2 linked regions of the Saccharomyces cerevisiae S288C genome follow. The protein of the gene in region 1 binds, or shares a complex with, the protein of each later gene. Each region holds a gene or a part of one and is shown on either strand. Other genes may lie near its edges. The genes, in order: RPT1 and HSM3. A codon is read from its position in the direction of its gene.

Region 1 (10,707 bases):
TTCTAGGTGAGATAGTAACTGGATGGATTTCTAAATGTACAGCAGAAGGCATAAAAGTTTCACTGTTAGGTATATTTGATGACATTTTTATCCCACAAAATATGTTATTCGAAGGGTGCTATTATACCCCTGAAGAAAGTGCATGGATTTGGCCCATGGATGAAGAGACGAAACTATATTTCGATGTAAATGAAAAAATTAGATTCAGAATCGAAAGAGAAGTTTTTGTTGATGTGAAGCCAAAATCACCCAAAGAACGAGAATTGGAGGAAAGAGCTCAATTAGAGAATGAGATTGAGGGTAAGAATGAAGAAACTCCTCAAAACGAAAAACCTCCAGCATATGCCCTATTAGGTAGTTGTCAAACTGATGGCATGGGACTCGTTAGTTGGTGGGAATGATAGATAAGGACGCCACTGACTTCAATAAAACATTTAATAATAATAGTAACAGTAATAATGAGGATAATAATATATAATAAACGTGAATTTTCTTTAGCATTATATACGCTAATTCTTTCTCTATTTGAGGGGATACTCTCGTATCCTTTTTATCTCGATAGTTGTAGTTGTACTTGTTGTTTTTATTAACCCTTCTCATAATATATAATAAAAAAGTACATTGACGTCAATTATATTGCATATAACGCGATGTGGAACTAAACTTCTTGTATCCGCTAATAACTTTATCAACAGCCTTCAGGAAATCCTTTTCAGTAGCCACCTTTCTTCTTGCTCTAATGGCAAACATACCGGCTTCTGTGCAAACAGATCTTAATTCTGCACCGGTAGAGTTTGGACACAGTCTGGAGATAAGTTCCCATCTGATGCCACGTTCCACACTCATTGATTTAGAGTGAATACGGAAGATATTTGCACGACCTTCCAAGTCAGGTAATGAAAACTCTACCTTACGATCAATTCTACCGGGTCTCAATAAAGCTGGATCTAAAGTGTTGGGCCTATTGGTGGCAAACATCACTTTAATGTTACCACGAGGGTCAAACCCGTCTAACTGTGTAATCAGTTCTAACATAGTTCTTTGAACTTCATTATCACCACCAGCACCATCATCAAAACGAGCACCACCAACAGCGTCGATTTCATCGAAGAATATAATGCAAGCCTTTTTGGTACGAGCCATTTCAAATAATTCTCTAACCATACGAGCACCTTCACCGACATATTTTTGCACTAGCTCAGACCCAATGACCCTAATAAAAGTTGCATCAGTTCTATTAGCAACAGCACGAGCACATAATGTCTTACCAGTACCAGGTGGCCCATATAATAAGATACCCTTTGGTGGATCAATACCAAGAGTAGCAAATCTTTCTGGAGATAATAAGGGCAGCTCGACAACTTCTCTCAGCTTTTCAATTTGGTCTTTACAGCCACCGACATCGCTATAAGTAACGTCAGGCTTTTCTTCAACGGTCATCATAGTAACTGATGGGTCAATCCTTGGAGGCAATGGAAGTTCAATATTATATTTCGACCTATCGACACCTACACGCATACCTTCTTCTATATCTGTTGGAGAAACACGTTCACCTAATCCGACGACAAATTTGGCAATTTGCTTAAGATTTATCACGTACTTGGCATCTTCATCGTCTTCGTCTGCATCAGTAGACTGTTGATTGCTATTACTATTGCTATTGCCGCTGTTATTATTATCTGTCGTAGTTTCGTCACTTTCACCATTCCCCTTAATGATCTTCGTGCAACGAGCGACTTGTAAGGGATGTTCTTCGCCCAGTCTCTGCCTATCACCCATAATATCCCATAGATGGGAGGGTGCTAACCCTGTATCGCTTTCTTTCACACCGGCCTTTTCTTTGATTCTCGCTTCAATGTCTTTTAAGTCATTCTCAGTTTGCTTTAATTTGGCTGCGTATGGAGCTGCACCGTATGATTTTAAGACTTGAATGTCACCTTCTGTTAAGGGTACGATCTTGTCATCATCAGGTTTTTTATCATCGTCTTCCAAAGGTGCCTTGTATTTTTCCCAGTCTTCTTTTGGTGGCATTCCGTATAGTTCCTAACTTCCTTGATTTATTACGATGGTTCAAAAAAATATCTCAATTGAATATTGCTTTGAATTCTCATCTCCTTGGAAAATACTGTATATACCCAGTTCTTTGTATAGTAAGCTGCATGCTAGTTTAGTTTTCGGGTGGCAAAATTCGGTAATCCTATTCACTATACCTTTTCCTCTCGTCCGGGTAAACTCAGCCATACCAAATTGACAAGGATAGTACATTTATGCTAATCATAATTAAAACAAGGTATGTGTGTTCCAGATGCATATAGATAACGAGTCATATATAAATATATATATATGTGTCTGTACATGATGTACTCGGTCAAAAATGGCGGATTACTGGCTCCACATTTTAATCGTCTGCCATGACGTGTAGGCCATGACAGCAACTCCAAATACTATGACGATTAAATCTAAAAGAAGCCTGGCTCTCGAGGTTCCAGATAAGATGGACGCCTTATAGTGCAACAATGGCGGGTATATGTAGATCAATGGGATACACGCGAAGGAGCCTACCAGTGATACAAATTTGTCCAAATCGTTGGCGCCTACCCAAGCGAGGATAGATGTCAGGACGACAATAGCGCAACGGAAATAGTTTTTCAACCATTTGACTTTCGGGTTGTATTTACCAGATGCATTTGAGGGAAAAGTCCAGTTTTCCAAAATACGTATCGCGGGAAATAGCTGCAACGGCGTGGATAACAAAATGGCTAATGCATACAGTAATTGAACAGTGAGAGTATAGGAAGTGTCCTGCGGAAAATTCAATAAAACAACAGTTTTCACGTCAGATCCAAAAGCGGCATAGCATAAGAGACCACATGATATGAAAATCACTGCCACGATACACATCACCGCGGACAACGATGGCCGGAAATGCTTCGGGTGTTTCATTGACTCCTGAATGGGGATAAGTAGGCCTATACCTTCAAAGGTGAATATGGCGGTACCGATGAACAACGACCAGTCCGCTTTATTGAACATAAGCATTGTATCGGATGCGACACCATTAACAGCAATATAATAAATGGAGTAAACGTAAACATAAACCAATCCCAGTAGAATAAATAGATCTGCTATTAACGCGGTCCCACTTAACTTGGCTATGTTTCTTGTCAAAGATAGTGGGACAAAGATGAGTACTTGTGCAAAGATATAGGTGGCTAGACTGATGCTGCCCGGTTTCAAATGGAAGAAATTTTCAGAAAAGACCTGCAAATTAGTTGCAGTGAAAACAGTGTATGCAGCAGAAAACCCGATTTGTGACAAGGCGATAGACGAAAGAATGGCAAATTTCATTTTGGGCCCATATAGTATACGACCCATGTCACCGTACCCATCTACGCCTACTTTGTCCTTGGTGGTAATCAATGATACGAAACATCCATAAGAAATGAGGGCACACGAGAGTAGACAAAGGGCGCTAAATCCCCAACCACCGTTATGGAAAGCCTTTGGTAGGAAAAGCACACCTGTCCCAACAAATGACTTTAACAAGAGCAGCACCGCCTTTACCGTAGATGATTTGTGAGGATGGCGCCCGTGTTCACGAGAAACTAGCTGGGTGCTTTCCGTTTCCAAAGCTTCCTCCTCTGGCTCCTCTTCAGTTTCTTCCTCCTCCTCCTCTTCTTCCGATAAATCTTCACCAGCGAAGTGGCCATACAAGGTCAAAAATTCAATAAAGTTCCTGGTGAAAAAATTCGGTATGGGCGCATCAACGTTATGTTTCCTGCGCTTCTGTATTATAAAAGATCTTCTGAATCCACCAGGAGCCCTGATTTCTTCGTGCGTCATCGGTGCGGGCGCCAGGCCTATTGCCGCTAGAGGATTCCCATTCGCCTCCGAGTTGTTGTTAAGGTGAGAGGAAGATGCTATAGAAGCGGCAGAAAAGCTCATAGACCTTTTACGATTCGAGAATGAGGGCGCTTGTGAAGGTATTGAGGTGGAAAGTGCAGGTTGACTTGGGTACTGATACTGCGATGGTGATGAAGGATGGTCGTTTGTCCACTTATACAGATCTCTTGTAATGTCTCCGCCTTGCAATTGTAGGCTGTTACTCGGGTTTCTTATCAAGTGGCGTGCCACGGCATCTACCACATGTGGCTCAGGGTTATTTATGCTCACTTCAAGCGTGCCATTGTTACAGGAAGTGTGCGACGCGTCGGGTACGCTAGCATGCACCGCTTCATTGTTCACAAGCAGCGGCGGCTTTTTTAGCAAACCACCTGTAGTTCCACTAGATTTTCTACTTCTGCTTCTACTTCTACTATTACCGTTGCTATTGCCACCGTTGCCGTCCGTTAAAGGTGAGCCAGACGCATGCGAGATTCCTGTACTGCCTCCGTTGTTATTTTTTTTGTTGTTGTTGCTCTGCGTTCTTCCAGAGCCACTTGAAACCTCTTTTCCATTCATATCCGCGATGCAATCCCTTATACGCTTCTTAATAAACTTTGCTTCCCACTCTTTCACTACTGACCATCGATCCTTCTTATTTCATAGCCTCACGAGCACAAATGATAATACGAGAAAAAGGCCCGACCGGGTAACCAACCCTTTTACTATCTCTCGCTCTACCTTTAGTAATAATGTCGTCTATATAAGGATTTACTCATACAGTAGTCCAAAATATACCTTTCCGTGCTAAAAGTAGCTCCCAAAAGTAGCGGAGGTGAGGATCATCCTCTATTGCCAGGTACCAAGCTCGCTGGAAAGTCGTTATGGAGTCACGGCTTTGAGGGCGGGGGTGGACCAATCACAGCGCAGAACGCGGCGCCGAGCAAGCGCTGGACCAAGGGATCCGGGCCTCTTCTATTGGTTGTTTGTTTGCTCAAACCCGTTATATATTCAGGCATCCTCGACTCTAACCTTTTGCCACGTCGAGGCGGCTTGAAGCTTAAATAGCACTAATAAACTAGTAGACACATTATAACTAACCAGTAGTATACTTTGCACTTTCGATATTCTTTTCACTAATCTCCTCCCCAACCCCTTATTGAAGATAAAAAGAAAGAAAGAAAGAAAGAAAAAAATCCAATTTCATAGTACGAAGAAGAACGAGAATAAAGATGCTATCGCTAAAAAAATCAGCGCTCTCCAAGTTGACTTTGCTCAGAAACACAAGAACATTTACATCGTCAGCTTTGGTGCGCCAAACGCAGGGCTCTGTAAACGGTTCCGCGTCCAGATCTGCAGACGGGAAGTACCACATAATAGATCACGAGTATGACTGTGTGGTAATCGGTGCCGGTGGTGCCGGCCTTAGAGCGGCCTTTGGTCTTGCCGAGGCGGGCTACAAGACTGCTTGTATATCCAAGCTTTTCCCCACCAGATCCCACACTGTTGCTGCTCAGGGTGGTATCAATGCCGCTCTGGGAAATATGCACAAGGATAACTGGAAATGGCATATGTACGATACTGTGAAAGGATCTGATTGGCTAGGTGACCAGGACTCCATCCATTACATGACCAGGGAAGCGCCCAAATCGATCATTGAACTGGAACACTATGGTGTTCCTTTTTCAAGAACTGAAAACGGTAAGATCTACCAAAGAGCCTTTGGTGGTCAGACCAAGGAGTACGGTAAGGGTGCTCAGGCCTATAGAACATGCGCTGTCGCAGACAGGACAGGACATGCTCTTTTACACACGCTTTATGGCCAAGCTTTAAGACATGACACACATTTCTTTATTGAGTACTTTGCCCTCGATCTGTTGACCCATAATGGCGAGGTCGTTGGTGTCATCGCTTATAATCAGGAAGACGGTACCATCCACAGATTCAGAGCACACAAGACCATTATTGCCACTGGTGGCTATGGTAGAGCATACTTCTCTTGTACCTCTGCTCACACATGTACGGGTGACGGTAATGCCATGGTTTCGCGTGCTGGTTTCCCCTTGCAAGATTTAGAGTTTGTTCAATTCCATCCTTCAGGTATATATGGGTCTGGTTGCTTAATCACTGAAGGTGCTCGTGGTGAAGGTGGTTTTTTGGTTAATTCTGAAGGTGAAAGATTCATGGAACGTTACGCTCCTACGGCCAAGGATCTAGCTTGTAGAGATGTCGTTTCCAGAGCAATCACCATGGAGATCAGAGAAGGCAGAGGTGTTGGTAAGAAAAAGGACCACATGTACTTACAATTGAGCCATCTACCTCCGGAAGTTCTAAAGGAAAGATTGCCAGGTATCTCTGAAACAGCAGCCATTTTTGCTGGTGTAGACGTCACCAAGGAACCTATTCCCATTATTCCTACCGTCCACTATAACATGGGTGGTATTCCCACGAAGTGGAATGGTGAGGCATTAACCATTGATGAAGAAACTGGCGAAGACAAGGTTATTCCCGGTTTAATGGCTTGTGGTGAAGCCGCTTGTGTTTCTGTCCATGGTGCCAATAGATTAGGTGCCAATTCCTTGTTGGATCTTGTTGTCTTTGGTCGTGCTGTTGCCCATACGGTTGCTGACACTTTACAGCCTGGGTTGCCACACAAACCACTACCTTCTGATTTGGGTAAAGAATCCATCGCAAACTTGGATAAACTAAGAAATGCTAATGGTTCAAGATCTACGGCAGAAATTAGAATGAATATGAAACAAACTATGCAAAAGGATGTTTCCGTCTTTAGAACACAATCATCTTTAGATGAAGGTGTTCGGAACATTACTGCAGTAGAGAAGACCTTTGATGATGTGAAGACGACCGATAGATCAATGATCTGGAATTCTGACTTGGTTGAAACTCTGGAGCTACAGAACTTATTAACCTGTGCCTCCCAAACAGCTGTTTCCGCTGCTAATAGAAAGGAATCCCGTGGTGCTCATGCAAGAGAGGATTATCCAAATAGAGATGACGAACATTGGATGAAGCATACATTATCCTGGCAAAAGGACGTCGCTGCCCCAGTGACTTTGAAATACAGAAGGGTTATCGATCACACTTTGGACGAAAAGGAATGTCCTTCCGTACCTCCAACTGTAAGAGCCTACTAATTTGAACCTCATTGTATTTTACGGAAAAGAATATCATACTCTTCTTTAATTGCACTTTTTTTGTGCGTTTGCACTTTTTTACCACTGACTCACTAATTTGTATATATACCTATTAATATACATTTACATAAAGTTTCTTCTTATACATACTCTATTTATTTAGTTATTTATTAACTTACTATTTATTTATTTATTTATTTATTTATTTATTACTTTCAATTTTTTATCGAGGCATTTCCTTAGTTCTCCAATTTTTTTTCTCATTAGCCAGATGTGTGTTTTTCTGGCCCTCACAAAAAATGAGCAGGAGAAAGTCATATGGCGAACGTAAATATGTAACTAAAAATTAAGATGGGCAGACATTTATCATTTTGCTTATGACTAAATTGCGAATTGCTGTACAAGGGTGCTGTCATGGTCAGCTAAACCAAATTTATAAAGAAGTGTCACGAATCCATGCGAAGACTCCCATCGATCTATTAATTATTCTTGGAGATTTTCAAAGTATTCGTGATGGTCAGGATTTTAAGTCAATAGCCATACCACCAAAATATCAAAGACTCGGTGATTTCATATCATACTACAATAATGAGATTGAAGCCCCAGTCCCTACTATTTTTATTGGCGGTAATCATGAATCGATGAGACATTTAATGCTTCTGCCACATGGTGGTTATGTAGCAAAGAACATTTTTTATATGGGATACTCTAACGTTATATGGTTTAAAGGCATAAGGATAGGTTCATTGAGCGGGATATGGAAAGAGTGGGATTTCAATAAGCAACGACCAGATTGGAATGACCTAGAAAATAACAATTGGAAAGCTAACATAAGAAATCTGTATCATGTAAGAATTTCTGATATTGCTCCTCTTTTTATGATCAAGCATCGTATTGATATTATGCTGAGCCACGATTGGCCCAATGGAGTCGTTTATCATGGCGATACTAAGCACTTGTTGAAGCTTAAGCCTTTTTTTGAGCAAGATATTAAAGAGGGAAAACTAGGCAGCCCAGTGACCTGGCAACTACTAAGAGATTTGCGGCCTCAATGGTGGTTGAGCGCCCATTTGCATGTCAGGTTCATGGCCTCCATTAAGCATAATAAAAGAAGCCACGAACCGCCTAATAAGTCAACTTCAAAGACAAAAAAAAACAATAATGAAATAGATTTGGATTTATCCAGTGACGAGGACGAAAGGTCTGGTATTATGAATTGCCAAGAAGAGAATGAGTATGATTCCAAATACGGCGAGACACGGTTCTTGGCGTTGGACAAGTGCCTGCCAAGAAGACGTTGGTTAGAAATTCTGGAAATAGAACCGGATACATCGCATGCTTCGTGGAAGGACGAGAATCACCGTATGTTCTGGGATCCTGAATTTATCAATAATTTGGTAATTTGTCAAAAAAATAAGAATCTCCTAAGCAATAAACCGTTTAATAGCGTCAATTGGATAGAACTGTCTCAATCTAATAGAGAGGAAGGAAGGGATATTGATTGGGAAAATTATGCCATTCCTGCATACACCTTAGATATTCAGAAAGATGAAGTACGACAAACTAAAGCATTTATCTCTAAATTCATGACTTGAGAGATATTTCTATTACGAATGCAGACGGAATTAGAGCTTAAAGCCAAGCCTTCTTGAGAGAATTTTTAGTCATACACATGAATATATATATATTTTTTATATATTTACTAATTTGAACGATCCGAAATTAAAAAAAATATCAATTACTTTCCTCCATGCTTAAAATTTGAAAACTTGGTCCTTGGAGTAGCCCAAATTGTTCAAGATACCGATCAATTCACCTTGGTCCTTAGGTGACTTCTTCTCACCTGAGTAAGCGTTCATAAATGGTGGGGGACCGCAGACAAACAAATGTGTGCTTTCCTTTGGACCTGGAACATGCTCCTGAATAAAATCTTTGGAGATGAAACTAATTTCACCATCAAAGTCTTGGTCATCTTGCTTGTCGTCAACAAAGTAAGTAACATTGAACTTGTCAGGATACTTTTCCTTCAACGCATCCAGTTCCTTCCTTAGTAAAATGTCCTGAGGAGTCTTGTTCCCATATAGCAAGTTAACTTTGGTCTTGTCGTTTGGGTTTTCAACTATATGATGAGCTAATTGGTACAGAGGGTTGATACCGGTACCGGCACCTAACAAGGTGATTGACTTGAACTGATTAGGTTGCCACTTCCATTTCATAATAGGACCCTTGAAAGAAACGGTGTCATTTGGTTTAAGACCAAATAAATGTGAGGTCATTTTACCACCTTCATAATGCTTGACGACCAGCTGGAAGTGACCCTTCTGGGAAAGATCACTCACAGGAGTGTATGGTCTCACCACATTGGATCCCTTTGGTGTGACAAATTTAGCAAACAGAGCAGATGCTAGGACCAACCCCATTTCTGAGTCTTCGGTAGGCAGCTTAAAAGTAAACCTTCTGGTGTCGTGGGATTCCTCCTCTATTTTAGATATTGGCAAGTCGATCCATTTGTCATCACCTTTGAACACTTTATTAGATTCATTGAAGACAAAGGAATGTTGGTTACGGTTTGCAAAATAGAATGCGGTAGCAGCTGCTATAGCAACTGTACCTAGAGCAATCGGTAATGCTTTTGAGTGAGATCTGGATAATCTGGAAAACATGTTTTTGACTTGGAATATTATTTTAACCTATATACGTTATACTATTGTTAGTTTGGCTGCTTCAAAACGTTAGTATTGAGGGAAAAGGTAAGAGTACTTAACACAAGCGGGCATTGCGAGCAAACTGCATTCTTATATACGTACCTCTCTCGACAAGACACCAATCAAGGGCCCTTATTTCTCTTCTTTTTTCAAACGGAGAAACACTCCGAGCGATAGTTCCTACGCTTGTTTGGTCTTAGACCTTTGAAGTTTGAATTGTCAGGGGTAACAAGTTCCTTATACGATATAGGCGTCATAATGAGGGGGATAGTTTAGCATTGCGTGGAGGGATACTGAAGGTCATCGCAAATGAACCTAATTCATTCACCTATTGTTACCAGCTTGCATACTAGAAATGGACTCTTATGATCGTCAAAAGGAGCACACACCCACACACGACTCCTTTGCGCTGTAAAGGGCAGAATAGGGAGTGATGTGATGTGATGCGATGTGATGGGTCTTGCAACGTGATCTAGTAGATATATATGTAAAGGTGTAAATAGGTATATAGGCGTCGGTGAAATTTTATTAGCAACACCAGTTCAATACGATCACTACCGTATCACTGGAAATGTTAGCAGAATTGTCTCATAGAGAATTGATAAAGTTGGCGCAGAAAAGATGTATACCACCTTTATTGCCAAAGTTTCATAAGGGACAGTCTGGTGGGAGAGTTTGCATTATTGGAGGATGCGAAGATTATACAGGGGCACCGTATTTCAGCGCCAATGCTACAGCCTTGATGGGCTGTGATTTGACACATGTCATCTGCGAATACAACGCTGGTACGGTCATTAAATCGTACACCCCAAACCTAATGGTTCATCCATACCTTCGTATGAGTAACACCAAATTAGACGTTGATATGGACGAACAAAGGAAGAAAATCAATTCCTTATTGGATAGAATCCACGTTGTGGTAATTGGACCCGGCTTGGGTAGGGACCCCCTAATGTTAAAATCCA
Region 2 (10,439 bases), on another chromosome or scaffold:
ACCAGCGAAGTTCTTTTCAAAATAAGTCCAGAGCTACTGTTAAAATTACTGACGTATAAGGAGAAGCCTAATGGGAAGTTACTGGCAGCAGTTATTGAAAAAATTGAAAATGGAGATGATGATTATATATTGGAGTTGCTTGAAAAGATTATTATACAAAAAGAGATCCAAATTTTGGAAAAATTAAAGGAGCCACTTTTAGTTTTCTTCTTAAATCCAGTTAGCTCTAATATGCAAAAACACAAAAAGAGTACAAATATGCTCCGTGAATTAGTCTTATTATATCTCACTAAACCGCTTTCTAGAAGTGCCGCCAAAAAATTTTTTTCCATGTTAATTAGTATATTACCGCCAAACCCTAACTATCAAACTATTGATATGGTTAATCTGTTGATTGACCTCATCAAATCACATAATCGTAAGTTTAAAGATAAGAGAACCTATAATGCAACATTAAAGACAATAGGAAAGTGGATACAGGAATCGGGCGTGGTTCATCAAGGGGACTCAAGTAAGGAAATTGAAGCTATACCTGACACTAAGTCGATGTATATTCCATGCGAAGGGAGTGAAAATAAACTTTCAAACTTACAGAGAAAAGTGGATTCTCAAGATATCCAGGTTCCGGCTACGCAGGGAATGAAAGAGCCTCCCTCCTCAATTCAAATATCTTCCCAGATTAGTGCGAAAGATTCAGATTCAATATCGCTTAAAAATACTGCAATAATGAATTCTTCACAGCAAGAATCACATGCTAACCGAAGCAGATCAATTGATGATGAAACACTAGAGGAAGTGGATAATGAAAGCATTAGAGAAATAGATCAGCAGATGAAGAGTACGCAGTTAGATAAAAACGTGGCCAATCATAGCAACATTTGTTCTACTAAAAGCGATGAGGTGGATGTTACTGAGCTGCATGAAAGTATTGATACACAATCCTCGGAAGTGAACGCATACCAACCGATAGAAGTTCTCACTAGCGAACTGAAGGCGGTAACAAATAGATCTATCAAAACGAATCCTGATCATAACGTTGTTAACAGTGATAATCCTCTAAAACGACCTTCCAAAGAGACGCCTACCTCTGAAAATAAAAGATCGAAAGGTCATGAAACGATGGTGGACGTTTTAGTTTCTGAGGAACAAGCGGTGTCGCCTAGCAGTGACGTTATATGTACTAACATCAAGAGTATAGCCAACGAAGAATCTTCGTTAGCTTTAAGGAATAGCATAAAAGTGGAAACAAACTGTAATGAAAATTCCTTGAATGTCACTTTAGATCTTGACCAGCAAACCATAACAAAGGAAGATGGAAAAGGGCAAGTTGAACATGTTCAAAGACAGGAGAACCAGGAAAGTATGAATAAAATCAACAGTAAAAGTTTTACGCAAGACAATATTGCACAGTACAAGAGCGTGAAGAAAGCCCGTCCTAATAATGAGGGTGAAAACAACGATTATGCTTGTAATGTTGAACAAGCCTCTCCAGTAAGGAATGAGGTGCCAGGAGACGGCATTCAGATCCCGAGTGGGACTATACTTCTCAATAGTTCAAAGCAGACAGAAAAATCAAAAGTTGATGACTTGCGTAGTGATGAAGATGAACATGGAACGGTTGCGCAAGAGAAACATCAAGTGGGTGCAATAAACAGTAGAAACAAAAATAATGACAGGATGGACAGCACACCCATTCAAGGCACTGAAGAAGAATCTAGGGAAGTTGTTATGACCGAAGAAGGTATCAATGTACGCTTAGAAGATAGTGGAACATGCGAACTTAATAAAAATTTGAAGGGACCGCTTAAAGGAGATAAGGATGCCAATATTAATGACGATTTTGTACCTGTTGAAGAAAATGTCAGAGATGAGGGCTTTTTAAAATCAATGGAACATGCGGTATCTAAAGAGACAGGTCTAGAAGAACAACCCGAAGTTGCTGATATTTCAGTGTTACCAGAAATTCGTATACCCATTTTCAATTCTTTGAAAATGCAAGGGTCAAAGAGCCAAATAAAAGAGAAATTGAAAAAGAGATTGCAAAGGAATGAGTTAATGCCACCAGATTCACCTCCTCGAATGACAGAAAATACAAATATCAACGCGCAGAATGGCTTAGACACCGTACCAAAAACAATTGGTGGAAAAGAAAAACACCATGAAATTCAATTAGGCCAAGCCCACACAGAAGCAGATGGCGAACCTTTGTTGGGGGGAGATGGTAACGAAGATGCTACATCTAGGGAAGCCACACCTTCATTAAAAGTGCACTTTTTTTCAAAAAAGTCGAGAAGGTTAGTGGCCAGATTGAGAGGGTTCACACCGGGCGACTTGAACGGAATATCTGTGGAAGAAAGAAGAAACTTGAGAATTGAATTATTAGATTTTATGATGAGGCTCGAATATTACTCAAACAGGGATAATGATATGAATTGATTGTTAGTATGTAGAATAGATCAAAATGGCAATAAATTAATTACAATAATAAAATCTCTCGAAACAATATATAGTTACGATGACACACTAGAAATCGAGAGAGATATATAATAAGTAGAAAGAATTTTTTTTTTTTTTTGATCAGTGCATCTTAACCCTTCTTTTGTCTCCATTTTTTTCAGTTGGGAATTAGGATAATATCCCTACAGATAGTTGAAATTTTCTTGAACAATCTTCTCCATTCTAAAGGATCACCAGTTTTTCTTTCAAATCCGACACTTTTCAACTCTTCTTCAATCTTTATGATGGAAATGCTACCGCATAATTGATAACCCCCATTACTTTTGGTTTTAATATTTATAATAAGTGGGAAAACGTTATCATAACCCAATAATTCGCACAATCTTTCAAAATTCGCAAAAAGGTCGGGTTTTACTCTAATTTGTGATAAATTCAAGGCTTTCTCCAAAATCGGTAACAAAACATCCATAGGTTGCAACGTGTAGAACTTGGTAAGTTTATTCGGATTAAATTGTAAATGTCGTTTTACTAATTCATTACAATCATTTTCATCAGAATGAAACTGTAAGGCAGCGATATCATAGCTTATGAATTGCGTCCACTTAGCCTCTTGTGTCATACCTGTTCCGCTATTATAGTTCGTATTTGAATCATACGAGGTAAATGCACGTTGTGTATTCGAAACTGTCTGGAAATGCATTGAGTCGTGTTCAAGCTCAGCCAATTCGTTACCAATTGGCTGAGTAGAAATGTACCTATTATTAGAGTTTGTATCTTGAGTGAATTTCAAATAATTTTCGTTACTCAGTGAGACTTTTAAGTGAGAAAACAGTTTCTTAGCCAAGAGTTCAGGGTCATTACAGAGACCATCATCCCCAGAAAATGAAGCTCGACGTAATACCCAAGGATGTAACTTTAAAGCCTTCAATGTCACCCTCTTATTTGGGTCAGGTTGTAAAATTTTTCGGAGTAGGTTCAAGTGAGTAAATTCTATCTTTGACCAGGGTCCCCAGTTTAAATTTCCATCATTTTCAATAAAAAAGACGAAATCTTCGTTCTCTAATGAAGGTAATTCCCAAGGCGTTTGACCAGTCAACAATACGAACAAGAGGATGCCAATAGACCATATATCTGTTCGATCTGCGTAATAACCCTCTTCAGAATATAATACTTCAGGAGCCATGTAGGGTGGAGAACCCCTTTGATCCATGGATACACGTAATGTACCATCTTTCCTCCTAAATTGAGAGGCGAGCCCAAAATCAGCTAGCTTCAGATTTCCGTTCTTATCGAGTAAGATGTTTTCAGGCTTGATGTCTCTGTGAGCAACTCCACATTCTACATGCAGATAATTAATAGCACTAACGAGCTGTTGAAAGTAAAATTGGGCCACGTCGGAATCAACTCCAACGTCAGGCTCAATCTTATCAAATAGATCACCACCATCTGCCATCTCCAGAATTATCCACATATATTCTTTAGAGACATTACAATCGATAAGTCTCAAAACATTAGGATGCTTAGAACACTTCGATTGCAAAACAACCTCTTTTGTGATATCCTTGTCACTGAGTCCCATTTTTTTGCAAGTGGGAACATGAATGAATTTAACAGCTAGAATAATGGAGGGATCCATTTGAAGATGAGCATTTTTAACGCAGGCGAATGCGCCTTGGCCTACTGTATCTCCTAAAACAACATCCTTGATATGGGGTAAAGGTGACACCTGCGAGAGACTCATAGTAATACGTGCTGCCCATATACAGCAACTTATGATATACTCTTATGTTTGAAGCTGTAGTTGTTTTTATTTGCCATTCAATTATTAAAATGACATTTAAAGCCGCTCTTTATTAACTTCGGCAGGCCTCGTAGTAATGTTGAAAATTTAAAAGGGAGCTGGGTTGAGGTTGAAAGCACTTACAAAGAAGCAAGGATAGCTAAACCAAACAGCCGTAACCAAATGTTAGAAGCACTGTTTAGAGATTCTGTGGAAGAAGCAATAAACGATTCCATCAAGGAAGGCGTTGTGCTGGCCGTTTACAACACTGCACGGGATGACCAGTGGCTGAAAAGTTGGTTTAAAGGAGATGATGTCTCATTAGATACTTTAGCGGAACATAGTATTTGGTTGAGGTTGGTCAAAGACACTGAGCAGTTCCAGTTATTTGAGCAAGTATTTCCTAATGTAGTTGTACCCAGTATATACTTGATACGTGCTGGAAAGATAGAATTGATTATTCAAGGCGAGGATGACCGACATTGGGAGAAGTTGCTGGCGTGCATAGGCATCAAAGACAAAAAGGCTGGTGAGAGTTCGTCCAGGGAAACCAATCCAGGTTTGGCTAGAGAAGAAAAGTCATCCAGAGACGTCCATAGGAAAAATGCAAGAGAACGGATTGCTGAGACTACCTTAGAGATCCAACGTCGTGAACAACTGAAACAAAGAAAGCTGGCTGAGGAGGAAAGAGAAAGAATTATAAGACTTGTTAGGGCAGACCGTGCAGAAAGAAAAGCTCTTGATGAAACTCATCACAGAACCCTTGATGATGATAAGCCATTGGATGTTCATGATTACATAAAAGACGCACAAAAACTGCACAGCAGCAAATGCGTCTTGCAAATCAGGATGACTGATGGCAAGACTCTAAAACATGAGTTCAACTCGTCTGAAACATTAAATGACGTTAGAAAATGGGTGGACGTCAACAGGACAGATGGAGACTGCCCGTACTCATTCCACAGGGGCATTCCCAGAGTGACATTTAAGGATTCTGATGAATTGAAGACGCTAGAGACACTAGAACTAACTCCAAGGTCTGCATTATTACTTAAACCACTAGAAACTCAAAACTCGGGGCTATCTGTGACTGGGATGGAGGGACCAAGCCTTTTGGGCCGTCTTTATAAGGGATTCTCTACGTGGTGGCACAACGATAAAGATCCTGAAGTAACATCACAACGTGAGGAAACATCGAAGCCGAATCGTCACGAAGTGAGGTCTTCAACACCTTTATCTGGAGCTGCTTCGTCAAGCTGTTTCCAATACAACAATGTTCGGGAACCAGTTCAATCATCTGCTCATGCATCACCAATGCTGACACCTAGCGGAACCAGGTACCCATCGGAAACCAACCTTACTACGTCACGTTCTGTCTCGCCAAATGTTTTCCAATTTGTTAACAACGATCATCAAGAAGATCCTGAAGACCCAACAACCTTTAATGGTAATAATGTCCATTTAGAAAAGAAAAAGGACGAAGATAAAAAATAAGTAGTTAATGGCTTCAACTCCATTTATGACTAGTATTAGACGTGAATTTTTTTTGATTAGATTACATAAAAAAATATACAGTAATTTTATTTACATGGATTTTTGTTATAGCTGGTATTTTTATATCTTTTTTTCTGTTTCAAATGCATATAGAAAAATTGAAGAGTAAGTTTATATAAACACCTTAATTACGGGATTAAAAATAAAACAAGTTTACAACTATAATCACCGCAAAAGAACTCAGCGAAACAGGAGCAATGAGTGAGAAAGAAACAAATTACGTGGAAAATCTCCTTACGCAATTAGAAAATGAACTTAATGAAGATAACTTGCCTGAAGATATCAACACACTATTAAGGAAATGTTCTTTGAATCTTGTGACTGTTGTCTCCCTTCCAGATATGGATGTTAAACCACTACTGGCTACGATCAAGCGTTTTCTGACGTCTAACGTATCCTATGATTCATTGAATTACGATTACCTTTTGGACGTTGTGGACAAGCTTGTTCCCATGGCTGATTTTGACGATGTTCTAGAAGTTTATAGCGCGGAGGACTTAGTGAAGGCCCTTAGGTCAGAAATAGATCCATTAAAAGTAGCAGCATGTAGAGTCATTGAGAATTCGCAGCCAAAGGGTTTATTCGCGACCAGTAATATCATCGATATTCTATTGGATATTCTATTTGATGAGAAAGTGGAGAATGATAAGCTCATTACAGCAATCGAAAAAGCGTTGGAAAGGTTGAGTACAGATGAATTGATTAGGCGTCGATTATTTGATAATAATTTGCCATACCTGGTGAGCGTAAAGGGTAGAATGGAAACGGTTTCTTTTGTCAGATTAATTGACTTCTTGACTATTGAGTTTCAATTCATCAGCGGTCCTGAGTTCAAGGATATCATATTTTGCTTTACTAAAGAAGAGATACTGAAATCCGTTGAAGATATCCTCGTTTTCATCGAATTGGTTAATTATTATACTAAGTTTTTGCTGGAAATACGAAATCAAGATAAATACTGGGCTTTAAGACATGTAAAAAAAATACTGCCAGTATTTGCTCAACTTTTTGAAGACACGGAGAACTATCCTGATGTCAGGGCCTTTTCTACAAATTGTCTTTTACAGTTATTCGCAGAGGTGTCACGAATTGAGGAAGATGAATATTCTTTATTCAAGACTATGGACAAAGATTCTTTAAAAATTGGGTCCGAAGCAAAATTAATAACCGAGTGGTTGGAATTAATTAATCCGCAGTACTTGGTAAAATATCATAAAGATGTGGTCGAAAACTATTTTCACGTCAGTGGCTACAGCATTGGAATGTTGAGAAATCTTTCAGCAGATGAAGAATGTTTCAATGCTATAAGAAACAAGTTTAGTGCTGAGATTGTCTTAAGACTACCGTACTTAGAACAAATGCAAGTAGTAGAAACCTTGACGAGATACGAATACACTTCAAAATTTCTGCTCAATGAGATGCCAAAGGTGATGGGCAGCTTGATAGGTGATGGGAGCGCAGGTGCTATTATAGATCTTGAGACTGTGCATTATAGGAATTCTGCCTTGAGAAATTTACTGGACAAAGGTGAAGAAAAGTTAAGTGTATGGTATGAACCTTTATTGCGAGAATACTCCAAAGCAGTTAACGGAAAAAATTATTCCACAGGCAGTGAAACTAAGATTGCAGATTGCAGATGATTATGTTGCATAAGCGCAACTATAAAGGCGGCCTTGATTGTTTAATGTACTACCAGTATTGATTCCTGTCTGAATCAAAAACTAACCTTTTGGCGAGGTGGCCCATTCAGTTTTCTTCTCCATAAATTGTATAAATCAGTATGTAAGGTCTGGCAAGTACTTATAATTCACATTTCAATGTCTATGTAGCATGCATGATTTTTATTATAAAGAAAAACTATTCGCCTAAGCGCGTTCGTTTCTTTCCCACTAATTGCGAACGATTTGCCTATATAAATACTTAACGGCACCCCAATCATCCACACCCTCTGAATGCCGTTCTTCAACTACTTTTAAATCACTCTCTTTTAGTAATAATTTCAAAACCTCTCGTTCTTTGGCGTATTTTGCCCTTAAAGGTATTTCTAGGTGACAGGTCCCTGATGCCGCCAAAAACTTCGATATCATGTTAACTACCCATTCCGGATGCTGAGGCGAATATATCGGGTCGGCGATCAATATGACGTCAAATTCATTTTCATGTCCAAATTTATCTATAAAATCGTGAGGATTAGTCCAATCTAATATCTCTGCTTGAACGAAATCTCCTAAATTATTTAATGACACATTTTTCTTCAAATTCGTCACAATCTCGGGTAAATCCGTCACGAAGATTTCTATATTTTCAGTTCCATAAAGTTCTTTCCATTTTAAGGCCCATGAAAGTCCTACTAAACCAGTGCCCGCTCCTAATTCTAATACTTTAATCTGTTTGATGTCGCTGTTCGCTAACATGTTCACATTAGTGGTATGTAGGTAATCCAGGTGATCTACGACTAATTGTGAAAGTATTAAAGATGATCCCCATGTTTTCCAACCAAGATTATCGGCCGTTAAAGAGGGTTCATGAAGCGGTATGGAAGTGCTTAGATTTCTTAATTCAAAATATCTTACTATGGATGGTTGGGCCGTTCTCCCACAGTTTTCGGATATCCTTGAGCTCAATTCCTTAAGAAGTTCTTGTATGATTTCCTCATTCAATCCGCAACTATTATTGTATTTTTTCAATACACTAGTATAGTAGCCCAACAGTAGTTCTTTGGATACTGTAAATCTCAGCATTGGGATTTTATTGCATATCTTTTCCAACGAGTTTAACCTCTTGTTAGGCCATTCTTCTGTATACCAAGTCAAAAGTCTTTTCAGCAGATCGGGTTCCAGCCCATGACTCTTGCAAACCTCCAGTACAGATTTGTTCTTCCCTGTCTCCTGATTGAAGTTTACTTGTCTATCGGGCTTCAGAAGTATTAGTATACAAAGGATAACTTCTGGCGGAGCATACTTCACGGAGGGCAGATCCAGATTATCGATAATGGTGTCATCGTCGTCACTCTCTTCTTCATCTACAGCCGTTAATATTTCGTCACGTTGCGGTGAGCAAGGATCTTTTGGCTCTCTCTCTGCTAGATTGAACTGTAAAGCCTCAACCTGGATGTCATCAGGGGTGTACAAATCGAGAGGATCAAACATAGTGAAATATCCGCTATGGAACTCCTAACTTGCATGAGTTAGATACTTGAAAAGTAATATACAGATTGCACTACTATTATTTTGTAGCTCATCGCGAAATTGAAGAAAAAATTTACGATTGGAAAAAAAAAAACTACTATCAGAAATAGGTGAACCAATTTTAATGCCTGGATAGAGCTGCATACGCTACTAGCTTAAACCAATATTGGTGTCGCCTGTTTTCCTTTACCCAATCCAATATACCACTATACTGCGAATGAAGGTGTTGAAATAATTTGACAAGAGCACTTTATCCATTTTGCATGCGACCTTTACTAGCAATTTTTCAGCGATCTTTGCGGGCTTTAAAATAAGGTCAAAATTAAAGGGAGAAAGATAGAAGACAGTAAATAAAAAATACAAACCACAATAAGCATAAGTGGCTAGGCGAGTCTTAAACTACAGAGTCAAGCAATGGCAACAGACCTAAATCGTAAAAGAAGTGCTACCTCAGGCTCACTGAGCGTCACGAACCCGAACATAAAAGCAACTAATCGCAAACCAGCTAGAGTTTATAGTGTTTCTTCTGATATAGTACCGCAAGCGCTGACACATCCCGACGAAGATGTGCATCTAAAAACATCCAAATCTCCTCATGATGCCGCTCCTAGATGGTCACAGGTGGGGTTTCAATCTATATTCCATGATGGTTCCAATGCAAGGCGCTCGACGGATTCGATTGAAGAGGAGTACAGCCAAGGCACGGAGAATAACGATGGTCACTCCGAAATAGGTTCATCAAGTAGTAACCGAATGGAGGGGAACACCACGTCTAATGATAGTTTATTTTCTTCCAACTCAAGGGGCAATAAAAGGCGACTGTCCATCTTCACCAATTCAAAAGATAATATGAGAAATCGAAGCAGGAGCGGGTCAAAAAACTACGGCACTGTTATTACCGGCACAAGTAGTAACAACATAAGTAGGAGTGGCTCTAAATTGTTTCATACGAAATCTAATATGAGTGTGAACAGTTTACAATCTTCACTGTCTACAGGACATTCTCATTCAAACAAAGGCAGTAATGTCTTTAGCAAAATGGCAAAAAAGCTTTTACCCTACAAGCCGCATAATTCCATTGGTAAAGACGACGTTGAACCCGTAGTTCCCAGCCCATTCAGTAAATTTCTGCATTCTTCATATGGTAAACATAGGTCACCCGTACAGTTTATCCATACTTCTACTGGAGGCCTTATTGACTCTGGAAAATCTGTATATTCCTTTAACCCTAGCATTAACAACAACCCTAATGATACAGCTCTATCGCTGATCCAAGATGATGCTTTCGACGCGACTAATGTTTCTTTACTACATGATTTACTGAAAAACTTGCCATCCTTGATAGCAAACTATAAAAGCTTCACCGTACAGGAGTTATTTGTTCTGGAGGGGAATATCTGGGGTATATACTGCAGCATAGTTGTGGAGCTATTTAAAAACAAGAGGGTATGGCAATTGCC

Evidence for each region.
Region 2: the proteins of RPT1 (region 1) and HSM3 are in contact, whole or in part, in a crystal structure (PDB 4A3V), measured with the Saccharomyces cerevisiae proteins. Residues at the interface, in NP_012777.1 of Saccharomyces cerevisiae: Asp381 (codon at 891), Leu382 (codon at 888), Glu383 (codon at 885), Ala386 (codon at 876), Arg390 (codon at 864), Arg403 (codon at 825), Glu405 (codon at 819), Leu406 (codon at 816), Ile407 (codon at 813), Arg409 (codon at 807), Leu410 (codon at 804), Glu440 (codon at 714), Lys441 (codon at 711), Leu444 (codon at 702), Lys445 (codon at 699), Asp448 (codon at 690), Lys449 (codon at 687), Ser452 (codon at 678), Gly453 (codon at 675), Tyr454 (codon at 672); in NP_009831.3 of Saccharomyces cerevisiae: Asp150 (codon at 6,436), Lys151 (codon at 6,439), Ile153 (codon at 6,445), Thr154 (codon at 6,448), Glu157 (codon at 6,457), Thr190 (codon at 6,556), Val191 (codon at 6,559), Val194 (codon at 6,568), Arg195 (codon at 6,571), Asp198 (codon at 6,580), Asp230 (codon at 6,676), Ile231 (codon at 6,679), Leu232 (codon at 6,682), Ile235 (codon at 6,691), Glu236 (codon at 6,694), Asn239 (codon at 6,703), Asp279 (codon at 6,823), Phe283 (codon at 6,835), Ser284 (codon at 6,838), Thr285 (codon at 6,841), Asn286 (codon at 6,844), Cys287 (codon at 6,847), Leu289 (codon at 6,853), Gln290 (codon at 6,856), Glu325 (codon at 6,961), Glu328 (codon at 6,970), Leu329 (codon at 6,973).

What each region holds. Positions count from the first base shown.
Region 1 is NC_001143.9:165,537-176,243, reverse strand, and holds RPT1 (proteasome regulatory particle base subunit RPT1), read right to left. Parts: upstream 2,032-10,707; coding exon 628-2,031; downstream 1-627. Other genes in the region: DNA-directed RNA polymerase III subunit RPC25, read left to right, coding at 1-401; AVT3 (Avt3p), read right to left, coding at 2,383-4,461; succinate dehydrogenase flavoprotein subunit SDH1, read left to right, coding at 5,115-7,037; DBR1 (RNA lariat debranching enzyme), read left to right, coding at 7,415-8,632; MCR1 (cytochrome-b5 reductase), read right to left, coding at 8,792-9,700; NNR2 (NADHX dehydratase), read left to right, coding at 10,314-10,707. UniProt on the Saccharomyces cerevisiae protein: The 26S proteasome is involved in the ATP-dependent degradation of ubiquitinated proteins. The regulatory (or ATPase) complex confers ATP dependency and substrate specificity to the 26S complex.
Region 2 is NC_001134.8:743,353-753,791, reverse strand, and holds HSM3 (Hsm3p), read left to right. Parts: upstream 1-5,988; coding exon 5,989-7,431; downstream 7,432-10,439. Other genes in the region: DNA-binding protein RIF1, read left to right, coding at 1-2,436; serine/threonine protein kinase CHK1, read right to left, coding at 2,615-4,198; UBX7 (Ubx7p), read left to right, coding at 4,421-5,731; EFM2 (S-adenosylmethionine-dependent methyltransferase), read right to left, coding at 7,681-8,940; BIT2 (Bit2p), read left to right, coding at 9,394-10,439. UniProt on the Saccharomyces cerevisiae protein: Involved in DNA mismatch repair in slow-growing cells. Acts as a chaperone during the assembly of the 26S proteasome, specifically of the base subcomplex of the 19S regulatory complex (RC).